Rattus norvegicus: one gene and its partners. The protein of the gene in region 2 interacts with the protein of the main gene of each other region in a pairwise test. Links are inferred from orthologs where the notes say so. Each region holds a gene or a part of one and is shown on either strand. Other genes may lie near its edges. The genes, in order: C7h8orf33, Git1 and Rgs2.

What was found.
Region 1: the proteins of Git1 (region 2) and C7h8orf33 interact in a two-hybrid assay, tested with the Homo sapiens proteins (2 studies listed by BioGRID and IntAct). The link is inferred for Rattus norvegicus from reciprocal best matches to the Homo sapiens genes GIT1 and C8orf33.
Region 3: the proteins of Git1 (region 2) and Rgs2 interact in a two-hybrid assay, tested with the Homo sapiens proteins (2 studies listed by BioGRID and IntAct). The link is inferred for Rattus norvegicus from reciprocal best matches to the Homo sapiens genes GIT1 and RGS2.

What each region holds. Positions count from the first base shown.
Region 1 is NC_086025.1:110,561,493-110,565,929, reverse strand, and holds C7h8orf33 (hypothetical protein LOC681282), read right to left. Parts: upstream 3,196-4,437; 5' UTR 2,939-3,195; coding exon 2,933-2,938; intron 2,853-2,932; coding exon 2,562-2,852; intron 2,420-2,561; coding exon 2,335-2,419; intron 2,022-2,334; coding exon 1,875-2,021; intron 1,419-1,874; coding exon 1,279-1,418; 3' UTR 945-1,278; downstream 1-944.
Region 2 is NC_086028.1:62,846,283-62,850,619, reverse strand, and holds part of Git1 (ARF GTPase-activating protein GIT1), read right to left. Parts: intron 4,337-4,337; coding exon 4,224-4,336; intron 4,114-4,223; coding exon 4,008-4,113; intron 3,539-4,007; coding exon 3,321-3,538; intron 3,240-3,320; coding exon 3,145-3,239; intron 2,811-3,144; coding exon 2,768-2,810; intron 1,190-2,767; coding exon 1,163-1,189; intron 994-1,162; coding exon 945-993; intron 659-944; coding exon 586-658; intron 94-585; coding exon 1-93. UniProt on the Homo sapiens protein: GTPase-activating protein for ADP ribosylation factor family members, including ARF1.
Region 3 is NC_086031.1:58,350,212-58,354,648, forward strand, and holds the start of Rgs2 (regulator of G-protein signaling 2), read right to left. Parts: upstream 2,456-4,437; coding exon 2,346-2,455; intron 1,317-2,345; coding exon 1,215-1,316; intron 1,106-1,214; coding exon 1,044-1,105; intron 507-1,043; coding exon 340-506; intron 96-339; coding exon 1-95. UniProt on the Homo sapiens protein: Regulates G protein-coupled receptor signaling cascades. Inhibits signal transduction by increasing the GTPase activity of G protein alpha subunits, thereby driving them into their inactive GDP-bound form.

The DNA of each region.
Region 1 (4,437 bases), on a different chromosome or scaffold from region 2:
ATGCAACCTTCAACCTACCCTAAACACTAAGTACTGAAGAGTGTTGGAAAAACCAGCAATAAACAGTAACATAGGATTCTGGCCTAAGCAGCTAGACAGGGCAGTAAATACCACTGACTAAAAAGCAAAGGGAGACCCTGGACCTAAGTAGGCATTATGTAACAATGCTGAGTTTGAACAGCCCACGAAATACTCATGGGAGGGGCAGAGAGAGGGAGAGGCAGTTTTACCAGAGACAGGTTGCAGAAAGAGAACAAGCTAGACACAGGTGAAGACAGAATGAGCCAGAGAATGAGGAACCAGAGGATTAGAACGGATTGCCAGAGTTAGTATTGAGGCCAAGCAGAGCATAGAGTAAGAGGCTGAGAGAGAGAAGCCAGATTGAATCACTCAGCATGGAGAGGAGTTGGAGTCAGAACAGTTGAGTTGAACCAGCCAGCCAGAGCTAAGAAAAGAGCTAGAAAGGGTGATCTTATTCAGCAGTAAGTCTCAGAAACTGAAAACATTCCAGGCCTAGATAAGATGGTACCCAGGCTAGAAGCTTCCAGGACTAGGCCTAGGCTAGCAGAAGAAGGCAGTGAGCCTCTGAAGACAATTACATCAGGGGAATAAAAGACACTTTTATACATGTGTGCCCAGCACGCTAATACCCGCCCACTTACACACCATTCACACACACAAACAAAGGGTTTTGCTTTGTTTTGTTTTAAATGCGGTCTGCTAAGACTCAGTTCAGGTTAGGACAAGTAGCTCCTTGGCTCCTAAAAACAAAACACAGCTGGATGGTGGCCACACTGGCTCCTTGAAGATGATGACCTGCTCAGAAAAACAGCAACAGCAACAGCAACAACAGATGAGGCCCTGGCATCAGAGCTGGACCAAGCAGTCCCAGCCCCTGTCTCACTTTGCTTCCAATAACACAGACAGCTCTCTTCCACCCACCATCCTATTTCTTTAAAAAAAGATTTATTAAGGCAATATAACAATATGTAAAGCACTGAAAACTGGCCAGGGCGCCCTTTCGAAAGTGAGCCCAGTGTGTCGAGAGCTTCTCCACAGTTCCTTATCACCAGCAGCTACTCCACATCTCTCTTCTGTCAGGAAGAACATTTCTTTCAAAAGTTCTCACGTGGCAGCTTCACACCGGCCAGCAGCTTCATGTCCTGAGGGACAAACCAATCCCACTTCTGCTGAGAGGATTCCTGGAAAGGCCCTGCACTCAAGACAAATCCCCCTCACCACCCCGGAGGGGATGACTAGTCCAGCATGTAGGAGCCTCTAAAAGAAATTGAACCGGAACTCTTCGTTGGTCAAGTCGGACATGGTTCCGGCTCTTCCTGCAGGACGAGGCCTGCAGACCCTTCCACTCTTCTTTCTGGCGGCCTCGCCAACCAGCTGTACCTGGGCCGAGCGGGTGGCTGTAGGAAGGGGGAGTGGAGAGTCAGCTAACGTGATCTGTGCAGTTACAACTCTCCTAACTTCTCAGTACTAAAAGTAAATAATGCCTTCTCTGATGAGACTCACAGAGATGCAGTAACTTACCAAAAACGTTTAAATCTAAATAACGTATCCAGGATTTATGCCAAAGTTATTTATTGTTTCAGGAGCTAAAGTCCAACTGGGATCTAGCTTTATAGCCAGTGAAGTGAGCCCAGGCCAAGACAGATGAGTGGTTTTTCCCATCTCCAAAACAGACTGAGGTGAGGACCTCGGCCCTCCTCCTTCCGGGACCTCTGTCCCCAAATAGGTATATACTTTTCTCCATGCTTACAATTCCCCCCCCCCCCAAGCCCATCTCTTCCCCACTAACCCAGCTGAGCTGAGCCACTCCCTTGAAGTTAATGTACTGAACCAATCACTTTCTAGTTCCTCACCAGCCTTTAAAGCCCGTAGGGCCTCCCGCCACTCTGCATCCATCTGAGCCCTGTAGTCCCCAAACAAGGAGCGCATCAGCTGTCTCTTCCGGGGCAAGGGGGTTTTTTCACTCCGCAACGTTCGGATTGCCCCAACAGCCTGCTCTTCTGCAGATTAAAAAAAAAAAAAAATTAAAGCGCTAGTAACTTCAAACACACTCCATATCATCCTACTACAAAGGCAACAATTCCCATTCGACTGAGGTGACACATGCCTTTAATCCCAGGAGGCAAAGGCAAGCGGATCTGTACAATGAGACCGTCTCGCGGGGGGAAAACAAACAAACAAAAAAAAAAAACAAAAAAACAACCAAAACAACGTAAACAAACAAAAAGCAACAATCCCAGCCCTTGGCAACACCACCAGGCCACAGCACTGTCATGGTTTACATTTCCTTAACTATAAAGTAGGGTCCCTCACTCTGTTTCGGGGTGGGTCTCTGCGTCCTGAGACCCAGCTCCAGCTGTTCCACACACCAGGCCAGCTCCCGCGCCAGCTGCTCCGCCTGTGGTAGAAAGGAGGACATGGCAGGCAATAGGATCCCGCAGACTCCACTCCCATACCTTCAGCGCCTTAATTCCGCACACCTAGCCCACACAGGTAGGCGGGTTAGCATCCAGAAAGCTCACAGGGAGTCCCATCCTTGCCTGGGCCTCAGCACTAGGGGGAGCTTCATCTGGAGTAGGATTCTCGGAGGGCTTTTCCTTTCCATTTGTCCCAGAGACCCTGTTCGGGGTTTTCTTTTTCTTTTGCTTCATCGATACTGTGTTGCCTACGGGATGTGTCCTGTTGGCGGAGTCACATGTAGGTTGCACTGAATTACGAAGAGGAGGATCCGAGGCACCGGAAGCTGGGCGAGAGAGCTGAGGTCTGCGCGGAGCGCGATTAGTTCTCCGGCTTGAGGCTGCTGGTGCCTCCCGAGCAGGATGCCCTGGCTCCTGAAAAACGTGGGACAGGACGAAATTCACAGGGTCTCCCCACCTAGGGCCTCGCCACAAACACACCTCGCACAGCTTACCGCCATTAGCTGGAGAGGTCACCGGAAGCTAGTAAATCCTAAAAATCCCATAGCGAACTCACTCCCCTGGAAACAGGTCTACGACACAAGGTTCCGCAGAAAGTACAGCGGACCCAGAGCCAATGCTCACCGCGGGACGGAGCGCTCCAGGTTGTGCTTGTAATTTGGGTTGACAGAGTGCACAGGAACTTAACTTAAGGCCTCGGAAAACCCAGCAGAGTGCGCCGCCAAAAAACAAGACGATCCCTGGGGAGAATGGAACCCGCGGGGTGGAGGGGAACGCCCAGAGGTGGGGCAAGGTGGACATGCAGGGCGGTTCGGGGCGGGGCACACATAAAGCCAGATGGTTCAGCTGGTTTCCAGTATACATCACAATCCTGAAGAACTAGGCTCTAATAGCAATGAAGGAGTGAACTTGCCAGCGAGAGTAGGAGTAAGCATGCAAAGAGCAAGAACGTCCTTCTTCCACGACCTTTATATAGGCTGCCACCCGAAGACGTGGCCCAGATTTAAGGTGCATCTTCCCACCTCAAGAAAAACTCTCTTACAGGTGTACCCAGTCCCGTGGGTTTTAGGATAATTCCAGACGTTTGTTTTCAAGTTGACAACCAAGAATAGCAATAGCTATCATAGCGGTCTAACCGTGGGACTGCAGATACCAGACACGGAGCTTCAGGGTTTGGTATTTTGTATCTCTTCGCTATGCCTCTATTCCACAGTTTTGGAATGCCAGCGTACATACTGTGCCCTTGTACGTCGGAAGTATATAATTTTACTTTTGACTTTACCGGGGTCTATAGTTAAGAGATTACCTTGGGACTTTTTAAACAATGTTGAAACTGAAAAAGATGATGGGAACTTTTACAGTTAGATTAAATGCATTTTTACTTTACGATATGGCCATAAAACACTCTGGCCAAGGCAACTTAGAAAAATAGTTTGATTAGGGGACAAATTTGTCCAGGGGGACAAAATTTATGATGATGGAAGGAAAGCATGGCAGAGGAGGACTGGAACAGCAGCTGAGAGCTCACATCTCGATCCAAAAGCAGGAGGAAGCGAACACCATGGGCATGGTAAGAGGCTTTGAAAACCTTAAACCCAGCCCTCAGTAACACACCTCCTCCAACAAGAACACACCTCCTAATCCTTCCCAAACAGCCAACAACTGGGGACCAAGGATTCAAACTCCAGAGATTTATAGAAGACATCTCATTTAAAACACTACAGGAGTCAGGGAATGGAATGTGGGTGTTTGAGAATTCCACCAAAGGCAAATGAATACTCGGTCCCTGCTGGTGGTCCTGTTTGGGACGATTACGGGGTGGCACCATCTCACTAGTGGAAGTTCCTGAAGGTATGAAGTAGGAAGAGTTCATAGCCTCAAGGAGGTGGTGCACACCTTTAATCCCAGCACTGGGATCGCTGTGAGTTCCAGGTCAGCCAGGTCTAGAGAGTGAGTTCTAGGACACCAGACACCTCACTTCAGGTTTGGATTCTGCTTA
Region 2 (4,337 bases):
TCCGAGTGGCTGAGTATTCAGGGTTGACTGGCAGGAAGGGCACAGCACTGCGTTCTGTCACCAGGGTGCTATGATTCTGGGTAGCTAGCCACACTGTGGGGGAAGGGCAGGGAGCAGATCACCCACTGTGAATGCACCCTCAGAGAAGAGGGGGAGGAGCACTGAGCAGAGCCCCCCAGGCCCTCCTCTATTCAGACTGGGCCAGTGTGGCAGGAAGCAGGGTCTCCACCAACACAAACTCTGGGCCAGGCCCAGTGAGGCCCGCCCACTGACAACACAACAAGGCAGGGCCCACCAGGCCAGACCCAGAGTTTGGGTTGGAATCTGGCTGTGGCCAGGGAGGAGTGATGCAGGGTAGGGGTGGAGCATGGCTGAGGAGACAGCCAGAGTGGGAGGCAGCCAGAGCAAGATGAGCCCCAGTGCCTGGTGGGTAGAGAGGCGGCTGGCTGCTGACAGCTTAGCGCTGCCCAAGGGTGTATGGGGGAGGGGGTCGTGTGTGACAGGGACTCCAGTGGCCTCTGAGCAGCACCCCCTTCCCTGGTTCACTGGGTCCTGGCTCTTTGTGGCAGGTCCCTTCTCCCTCACCTGCATCATTTTCTCTCCGGTCCACTTCGTCATACACATCCATGGCGAGCTCCTCAAAGAGCCGGTTGCTGAGCTAGAGGCAGAGAGGGGGCCCAGGGTCTGTCAGGAGGCTGTGTGATGTGGGAAGTTTCATGACCCCGCTGTCACCCAGCCTGTCCTAGAACTGAGGGGTGGGTGAGGTTCTATGTGCAAGGAAGAGTCCAGGTTACTTCCTCCTCCCAGAGGCGAGGCTCTGGACACACACTTGGAGGGCAGAACCAGGATCAAGACAAGGGCATGGGGAGGTGACTGGAGGGAGGAGCCTGGCAAGGCTGGAGAGGGCTGCTCTAAGAAGTCCTAGCTTGTTGAGGCAGACTCACTGCTTGTAGCTTCTTCTTGGCAGCTTTGGCCAATTCAGACAGATCCAAACTGTGGACAAAGGAGGGAGGAGAGAGGCCAGACATGAGGGACGGTCTGGGCCCTGCTGGTTACCTCCCAAGCATGCAGGGAACTCAGGGAGATGAGACCCCGAGGTCACACACCAACCCCCCCCCCCAACACCCAAACTTCACAGCCTGCAGCCAACAGGTGTGGGTACCTCTGAGACATGCACTTTTGCCGAGATCTAATCCAGGAAGGCAGCAAAGGGAAGAACAGGACAGAGCAGCAATTACCCAGGGGCAGGCGGCTCTTGCCTTCCCATGTCAAGCTCAGACACATCTCCACACACACCCAAAACAGAACACGCAAGAGACTTTGCCTCCCCAGCTTGTTTCTCTGTCCACTCTCAGCTACAAGAAGCCATCCCCCATTTCCTTCTTCCTCAGACCCTAGCCTCGCCTCCCACTTCTGCCCTGTTTCCTCTGGTCTGGGCTTTTAGACTTCTAGGCTTGTCTTTAAAATCCTTTTCTCATCCAGCGGCAGAGTGCCTACATGTCTGGCCACACGCTCTGTCTTAAAACAGTTCAATAGTAATGTGTACATCAAATATAAATATAGTTCAACCATACTTCTTCACAATGCTTTCTTTAAAAAATGCTAAGTACTTTGTATTTTTTGTATTAATTATTCTCAATATTCCCAAAAGGGTAAGTATTAGCATTGAGATGACCAAGGCTCAGGCTAGGCAACCTGCTTCAAGTCATACAGTAACTTACTGCCACATATCCATTCCAGCCATGCTTGAACTCCGTCAGGATGGCTGTGCCCTTGCTGGGATTCCCCACGAGGTTCATGCTCACCTGGCTCTCCCAGTCTCATTCCCTCACATTGTGCTGTAGTACACAAGTTGCTTGCAGTTCCTACCTCTGCACCCTAGCACCTCTTGCTGATGTCCTGCCTGTTTAGTTGTAGCTCAGGGCAAGGTGGCGTCTGCATTACCTTGGTGTCTCTAGAGCAGCAGCTGGCTCTGAGGAGGTGCTAAGTTACAACCACTGACTCTACGTCCCTGTGTGTGTGTTGACTCTGCACGCGCGCACTCACACACACACACACACACACTCACACACACACACACCCACCCCTAGGCAGATCAGATTAGAGAAGAAGAACTGAGTCTCAGGGTCTTGGAACAGGGGAGTTCTGGGTTTAGGAATCTGAGCTGCACAGCCTGACCCATCTGCCTGCACAGGCTATGATGGAAAACCTCTCCTAATGCCAGGGGGTGCTGCCTGGCATCAAGTTGTAGTCCCCTGAGGACCACTAGGTGGCGCCAGCGCATTCTTGTCCTGTAAACTGAGTAAGTGACTGGGGATATCCTCCACTGCTGAGTTATCTTGGGGCTGCTATGATCAGAGGCAAAAATTCACCATTATTCCCCTGCACACTGCACAATGGAGGTCTGGCCAGTATTTCCAAAGTCAACAAATTCCCTGTAGTTATCTTCTCCCTACAGAGGGAATTACTTCATTCAAAGCCTACATGGCAGGTAGTACACAATGGCCGAACCTAGTTAGGTCTTTCCTTGTACCTAAACCCTCCAGATAATAATCACAAGGTTCACGCGGACTGTTGGATGTTGAACTGACACTTCTCGCCTGCCTTGAGGTCTACAGTAATAGGGACTAGGCTACAAATTCTGTGTTGCTAGTCAGTGCAGGAATAGGGTGGGAGGGCAGGCCTCTGAAGCCTGGAAAGGGGCAGGGCTCTGGGTCAAGTCACCTTGACATCTAATAGCTGGAAAGGGCATCAGGTGGGCACTCACCTGTCAGCCATCTGTGGGATGATGTAATGCCCATTCTTGTGATCTGAACAAAAATAAAAATGCCAAGTCACTGATAGCAGGTGGCACCAGCATCCAGGAGCCCGCTTCCCACCATGAGCAGGGTGTGACACTTGAAAGTATCAAAGGGAATGGAGGTGGGCAGGACACCCCAAGAGCATTGGAAGCTGGCTGCAAGTCAGGCCCACCCCCACTCCTTGGCCCCAACATACTTGCAGCAACCCAGAGCCTGCAGCAATTTCACAGGAGCCAGTTGCCTAGCAACACAGTTCCCCAGCTGGCTTTGTCACTATGGCACCTGCTGCTGGGTGTGTCTGGTCCCACCTGCCCGGGCCTAGTCAGGCCCATTCTCTGCTCACCAGGCTTCCGTCCACAGAGGTAGAAGGCCAACCGGTCAGTGAGCTCATACTGGCACTCAACTAGCCTTTCTGCCAGTTCATGGTGCCCCGCCTGCCTGTGGGGAGGGGACATGGCTCAGCCACACAGCAGCAGTCACTCCCTTCCACCTAAGCCTCATCCTTTAGCTGATTCTCACCTGGCATAGTCAATGGGTGTGCGGCCATTGACATCAGGGGAGCCTGGGTCAGCCCCATACACTACTAGCAGCTCAGCCTGCAGTGTCTGCCCTGCCTTGGCAGCCACGTGTAGAGGTGTAGTGCCCTTTTCTGGGTGGAAGAAGTTGGCCTGGGCACCCAGGGAAAGCAGGCGCAGACAGGTCTCCAGGTTGCCTGTTCGCACACTCGAGTGCAGTTGCTGCGAGGAGCAGAGTGTGCAGTGAGTGTGACAGACACACGTGTACCCAAGAACCCCCCACCTGGCTGCTCCTCGCACACCTGCCAGCTCCAAGGGGCCTTGCCAAACCTGGGCCCAGAGGGCTTCCCACTAGAGGACAATGCCAATTAATAATAGCAGCTGCCAGTCACTACCCTCCATGTCTTTGCTTGGAGCAGACACTAGCCAGAGGTAGGTCCTGTTACTACATTCCCATTTTACAGGTGAGGAAATGAAGGTCTGGATAGCTAAGCAAGGACTCCAGGGTTTCCTATCTTTCAAGTGGCAGATGGGAGGCCTTGTGCATCCACTTGGGAGTGGAGGCCTCTTAGCCATCAGCAGTCTGACAGAGCTCCAGAGAGTCTGCACTTACTGTTTTCCCTGACCTTATGCTGCCTCTGGGACCTATGCCTCAGGGTGTCATGGGTGTGGAAAGAGGGACCCCTCACACCTTGCTGAGGTCTTTGGCGGTGACCCCATCATCATCACGGCAGGGAAGCTTGTGCACAAACGCCAGCATCTGGTACTTTGCCCTGATGAACTCTGACTTGATGGGGCTGCATGGAGCACACAGGAAGCAATGGGAGCAAGAAGCTTAGGGAAGCGACCTTTCAGGCCCCTGTCCCAGGGCACACGGCCTGCCCACCGCCCCTGCAGCCCCACTCACTGGACTTTGTCTTGGGGGTTGGCTTTGCGCCGGCCACTTTGCACTTGTGCAGGGTCCAGCAGGGAATGCTCCCAGATAGAGTTGGCCCCGTTGCTGGCAAGCGTGTGCACCATC
Region 3 (4,437 bases), on a different chromosome or scaffold from region 2:
CTGTACACCCTCTTCTGCGCTGTGGTGAAGCAGCCACTTGTAGCCTCTTGGATATTTTGGGCAATCAGAGTTTTTGTTTGAAAGTCTATGTTTATCTGAAAGAACAAAAGAAAACTCCATTTATTTGCTATTCAATGGTACAGACCGATGCTTAATAATAAAACATGAAGGTATAGTTTGTGATCAGTTATAACTGTCAGTTTTGGGAGAAACTTAAATGTTAGGAGAGCTGGGGTGAGAGCCATACACGGCTCCTCTCCCGTGAGTATGAACGCAGTGTATTCAAGTCTCGTGTTTCCCTTCAGTATTGAAGACGATCTGAGGAACCTGCTTTCTTACCTCTTTGGGAGCTTCCTTCTCGATGAAGTCGGTGTATATTTTCCTTGCTTTTGAGGACAGTTTCTGTGGTGATTTGGTTTTCTTGAAGTCTTCGCAAGCCAACCAGAATTCAATATTTTCTTCACAGAACTCGGACTTTAAAAACGCTCTGAATGCAGCAAGCCCATCTGGAAGCACAAGGAGACGCGGTATGAAGAATATGAATGGAATGGCCGAATTACACACAGCTCTCCTAGTACAAAATGATCAGTTTCCTAGACTTCATTCAAGCCTGTCATTCTGGAAGTCTAGCTCTTTAAGCACTAAGATGCCAGTAAGCAAAACGCTTAAGTTTGTAGTCTGCAACAAAAAGTATACTTAACTTCCCTGTCAATGCCAAGACCAGTATTTACAGGACGACTCTAAGTCCACTAGGAACTAGGGCTTTTGAAAATATTCTATGTAATGGAAAAGCTGACTCAATCAGCTATGAGTAACTGGCATCTTAATTTTTAGGCTAATTTTTCTTCCCCACCTGAGTTGAATACCTCTTGCTTCCCTATGATTAAACTTAGTGATATAAGGGAAAGAGAAACAGGCTTTGTACTGTCGGTGGTGGTAATGTCTAATGCATTTCTTGCAAACTGCTCATTTTGTGGTGCGAAGGGAACATTTCTAGGCTTTTGAGATACCGGCAAGAGATCACATTCAAGAGGTTAACTTACATTTGCTGGCCAGCAGTTCATCAAATGCTTCTGCCCAGAGCAGCGCTTCCTCAGGAGAAGGCCTGCAAGAGAAGTTCCACACATGAGCTTCACCACACATGACAGCTCCCCTTTCCTGTCCACTGGTTTGACCAGATACTCATCTCTGTAACTACAGGATTTGAAACTCACTTGATAAAAGTTTGCTGTTTGCTTTTCTTGCCAGTTTTGGGCTTCCCAGGAGTAGAGGAGTTTTGCAAGAAATAGCTCAAACGGGTCTTCCAATCTTTTAAGCTGGAAGAAAAAAGAAAGAAAGAAAATATACTTCAAGTAGCAATTCTTGAATGGTAAAATTATCATCAGTTGCAGTAGCTACAGACAAAGCAGACAATGAGTCTCATTCCCTTAGCATTTAAACCCAGCACCTCCTGGCTTTTCTCCATTAGTCTGACTATAATGAGCTTCACAAGCAGGATAGAACTAGGTAAGACCTAAGGCAGTTTACATTTTCACCAGCTATTTCTGACCTAATAAACAGATAGAGGTTTTTCTGTGTGGTTGACTACAACTTGCTGACATTTTGTGATTGAGAACAGCTGCTGTTTTTTCCCTTTCTGCACCGGAGGCAGGAGGGTCTGGACTATGCCAGAGACAATGCATAGGGGTGTGTGTGTGTGTGTGTGTGTGTGTGTGTGTGTGTGTGTGTGTGTGTGTTGGAGGGTCTGGACTATGCCAGAGACAATGCATAGGTGTGTGTGTGTGTGTGTGTGTGTGTTGGATTCCCTAGCTCCCTTCTCAGGCCGCCCACAGTGCTTCTCTGCAGCAGATACTGCAGAGCGAATTACTCATTCCATAGTCGTGACTGGGTGAGACCTACTTTATGATTTAAAAACGGATCGCATACATTGAGAATCAATTCAAACATCCCCACCCAGCAGCTATGCAAGCAGCTCAGAACTAACAATGCAACGACTAGGCGCCGGTGGACTTCATTCCGCTGCAGGAGTCTGATGCTACATTAAATGCAGAACAAAAAAAAAAAAAAAAAAAAAAAAAGCCAACCAGCGCCTTCTCAGCCCATCTACCGCCACCTTCTTCGACCATTTCCTACAGTTCTTAAACTCTCTGAGCTCACATAGAAAAAGCACATACCACCAGATCTAGCAAGCTAACTTTTTCTCTCCCCCACAAGCCCCCAACTCTCCCACACTTTCTTTGCAGAGGCGCAGTCTAGAGTATTCCTAGCCGAGATCGAGAGAAGGTCGGTCCCTAGCAGCAAAGCCAGGCAGGGTAGGAACTCTTAGGAAGAGAGGGCATACTCACAGTGTCCGCTTCATTTTCTCCCGCTTCTCCTCGACCTTGGGGCCGTTGCCTGCGCTCTTGTCCATGGGTACGCAGTCGTGCTGGACAGCCAGGAACATGGCACTTTGCATTCTCAGACACCCGCGGCCACCGCAGCTGTTTGCCGCCCGGAGCGCGGCGCGAGCTTTTAAGGCGGGCGGCGGCGCAGGGGCGGGACTTGGAGGCGTCGGCCACACCTCTAGAGGGCGCGGATTGGCCCACTGCAGACGGCACGAGGGCGGGGTCACGCGGGCCTGCGGCAGTCACGGCAGCCGCCGAAGGGTCTGGAAGTGAGGGCGCTGTTGACGTAGGCGCCGCATCCTCGTGCGCACACAGGGTGGGAGGTGGCGGGCGGGGACAGAGAGCGATCGCTGTTAGGCAGCTCAGGCGGCCACAGCCGTGAAGGGTCCTGAATTTGTGGCTTTTTCTTGAGTGAAGACCGTAGTGTGTGTGTGTGCGCGCGCGCGCGCGTGTGGTTTGTGGTGTGTGCCCCCCACCTTTGCAACTTGTCTTTTGTTCATCCGGACACCTATAAACTGAAGCCGGGATGGGGAGAGTCCTGCTGACTGCACTCGGCCACTCCACCTGTTTTGGAGAAGGAAATCAACAACAAGAGAACCCTGAAACACAGGCTACTGAACTAGGTGCTGTGACTCTGTAGCTCTCTGAGGCACCTTGGATTTCCTTAAGGGAATACAGGCTGCTCAGGGAGGAAGCAGGAGAAAGTGTTTCTTAAAACCTGGTGTTTTAAATGGTTCTGCAGTCTTGATCTTTAAATGCATGGTTGCAGCAGGCTGTGACGTTGCAAGGTCGTTCCCCAGGAGACCCGATGGGCATCTCCCTGATGGGCATCTCCCTCCGGGCATAGCATAGATCTGAGTGATAAGTGAGAAATACAAAGGGAAACCCAAGATTCCCAGTTCGGCTGCACCCGGATCATTTGTAGTTTCAGGGTGTAAGGAATCAGGATTTCCTCATGAGTCATTCTCAGTTGAACAGGCTTAGGATTTACCAGATGTTCAATTGCTTAAATTAAGGTTGGGGGCTAGAGCTAGATGTGAGAGCCCGTAGGTGTAATCTGTTTGGACAAGCTTCATTTGCGATATCCTCAGAATCAGGTCTTTGCTCCTGCAGGGTTTAATATGCCCTGATTTGTAAGAACCAATACGTGACTTCAACTACAAACTGATTCAGCTTCCTATGTTACCAGAATGATGCGGTGCAATACCTAAGTGGTTTTCCCATAAAGTCTCAACAGATAGACTAACAAAAAGGTACAGCTTAGGCTCCAGTTATTCTGTTTCATACTAGACCCACTAAAAGGAAAATGAAGACCCTCAAACTGGGATCCAAGCAACACATTGTTACAAGCTGTGCATGGTTGAGCTCCAGGTTTGAGTCAGAAACTAAAGTCTGCAGTCGCTAATGAAGAAAATTGCTACAGCCTTTATTATAGAAGGAATATCATTTTGATTTTAGTAACAAATACTTGAAAGCACGCTTATGAATGGCTAAGATGGGATTTTTAATAAGCCCAACAGAACTGCACTGTTCCTACATTTGTTTCAATGTCTGACGATTTAATACATATTTATTAAGCATGCAAAATGGAAACAGTGTTGCTGTTTAAAAATATGTGTAATGTGTGGGCATATTTGATTTTTTCCAATAATACAAACCAGGAATATATTTTTCACTTAACAAACCTGGGCATTAAAATCATCAACATTTATGTTTCTGTGTAGCTCAGATGACCCTTGACACTTGTGGCTGTCGGCAGGTGTAATCAGAGCCAGTGTTTAGCCAGTAGTTGCTAAGTGGCTATTGGGGCAGTCAGTCACTTTCCCCCTGCCTGATCCCTAGCTCTCAAGACTAATAACATCAGTAGGATTTTTTTTTTAACCAGTCTTAAAAGATACTATGCAAATCCTGCATTTAAGACATTTTGTAATGTCAACAAAATGCATTAATTTGCACATATAAATGGGGCTTTTCAAGCCAGCTTTTCAGTATAAAAAAATCTCAAGGAGTAACTCAAAATTAATTAGGCTCTAGATGTGTAAATTCTATTAAC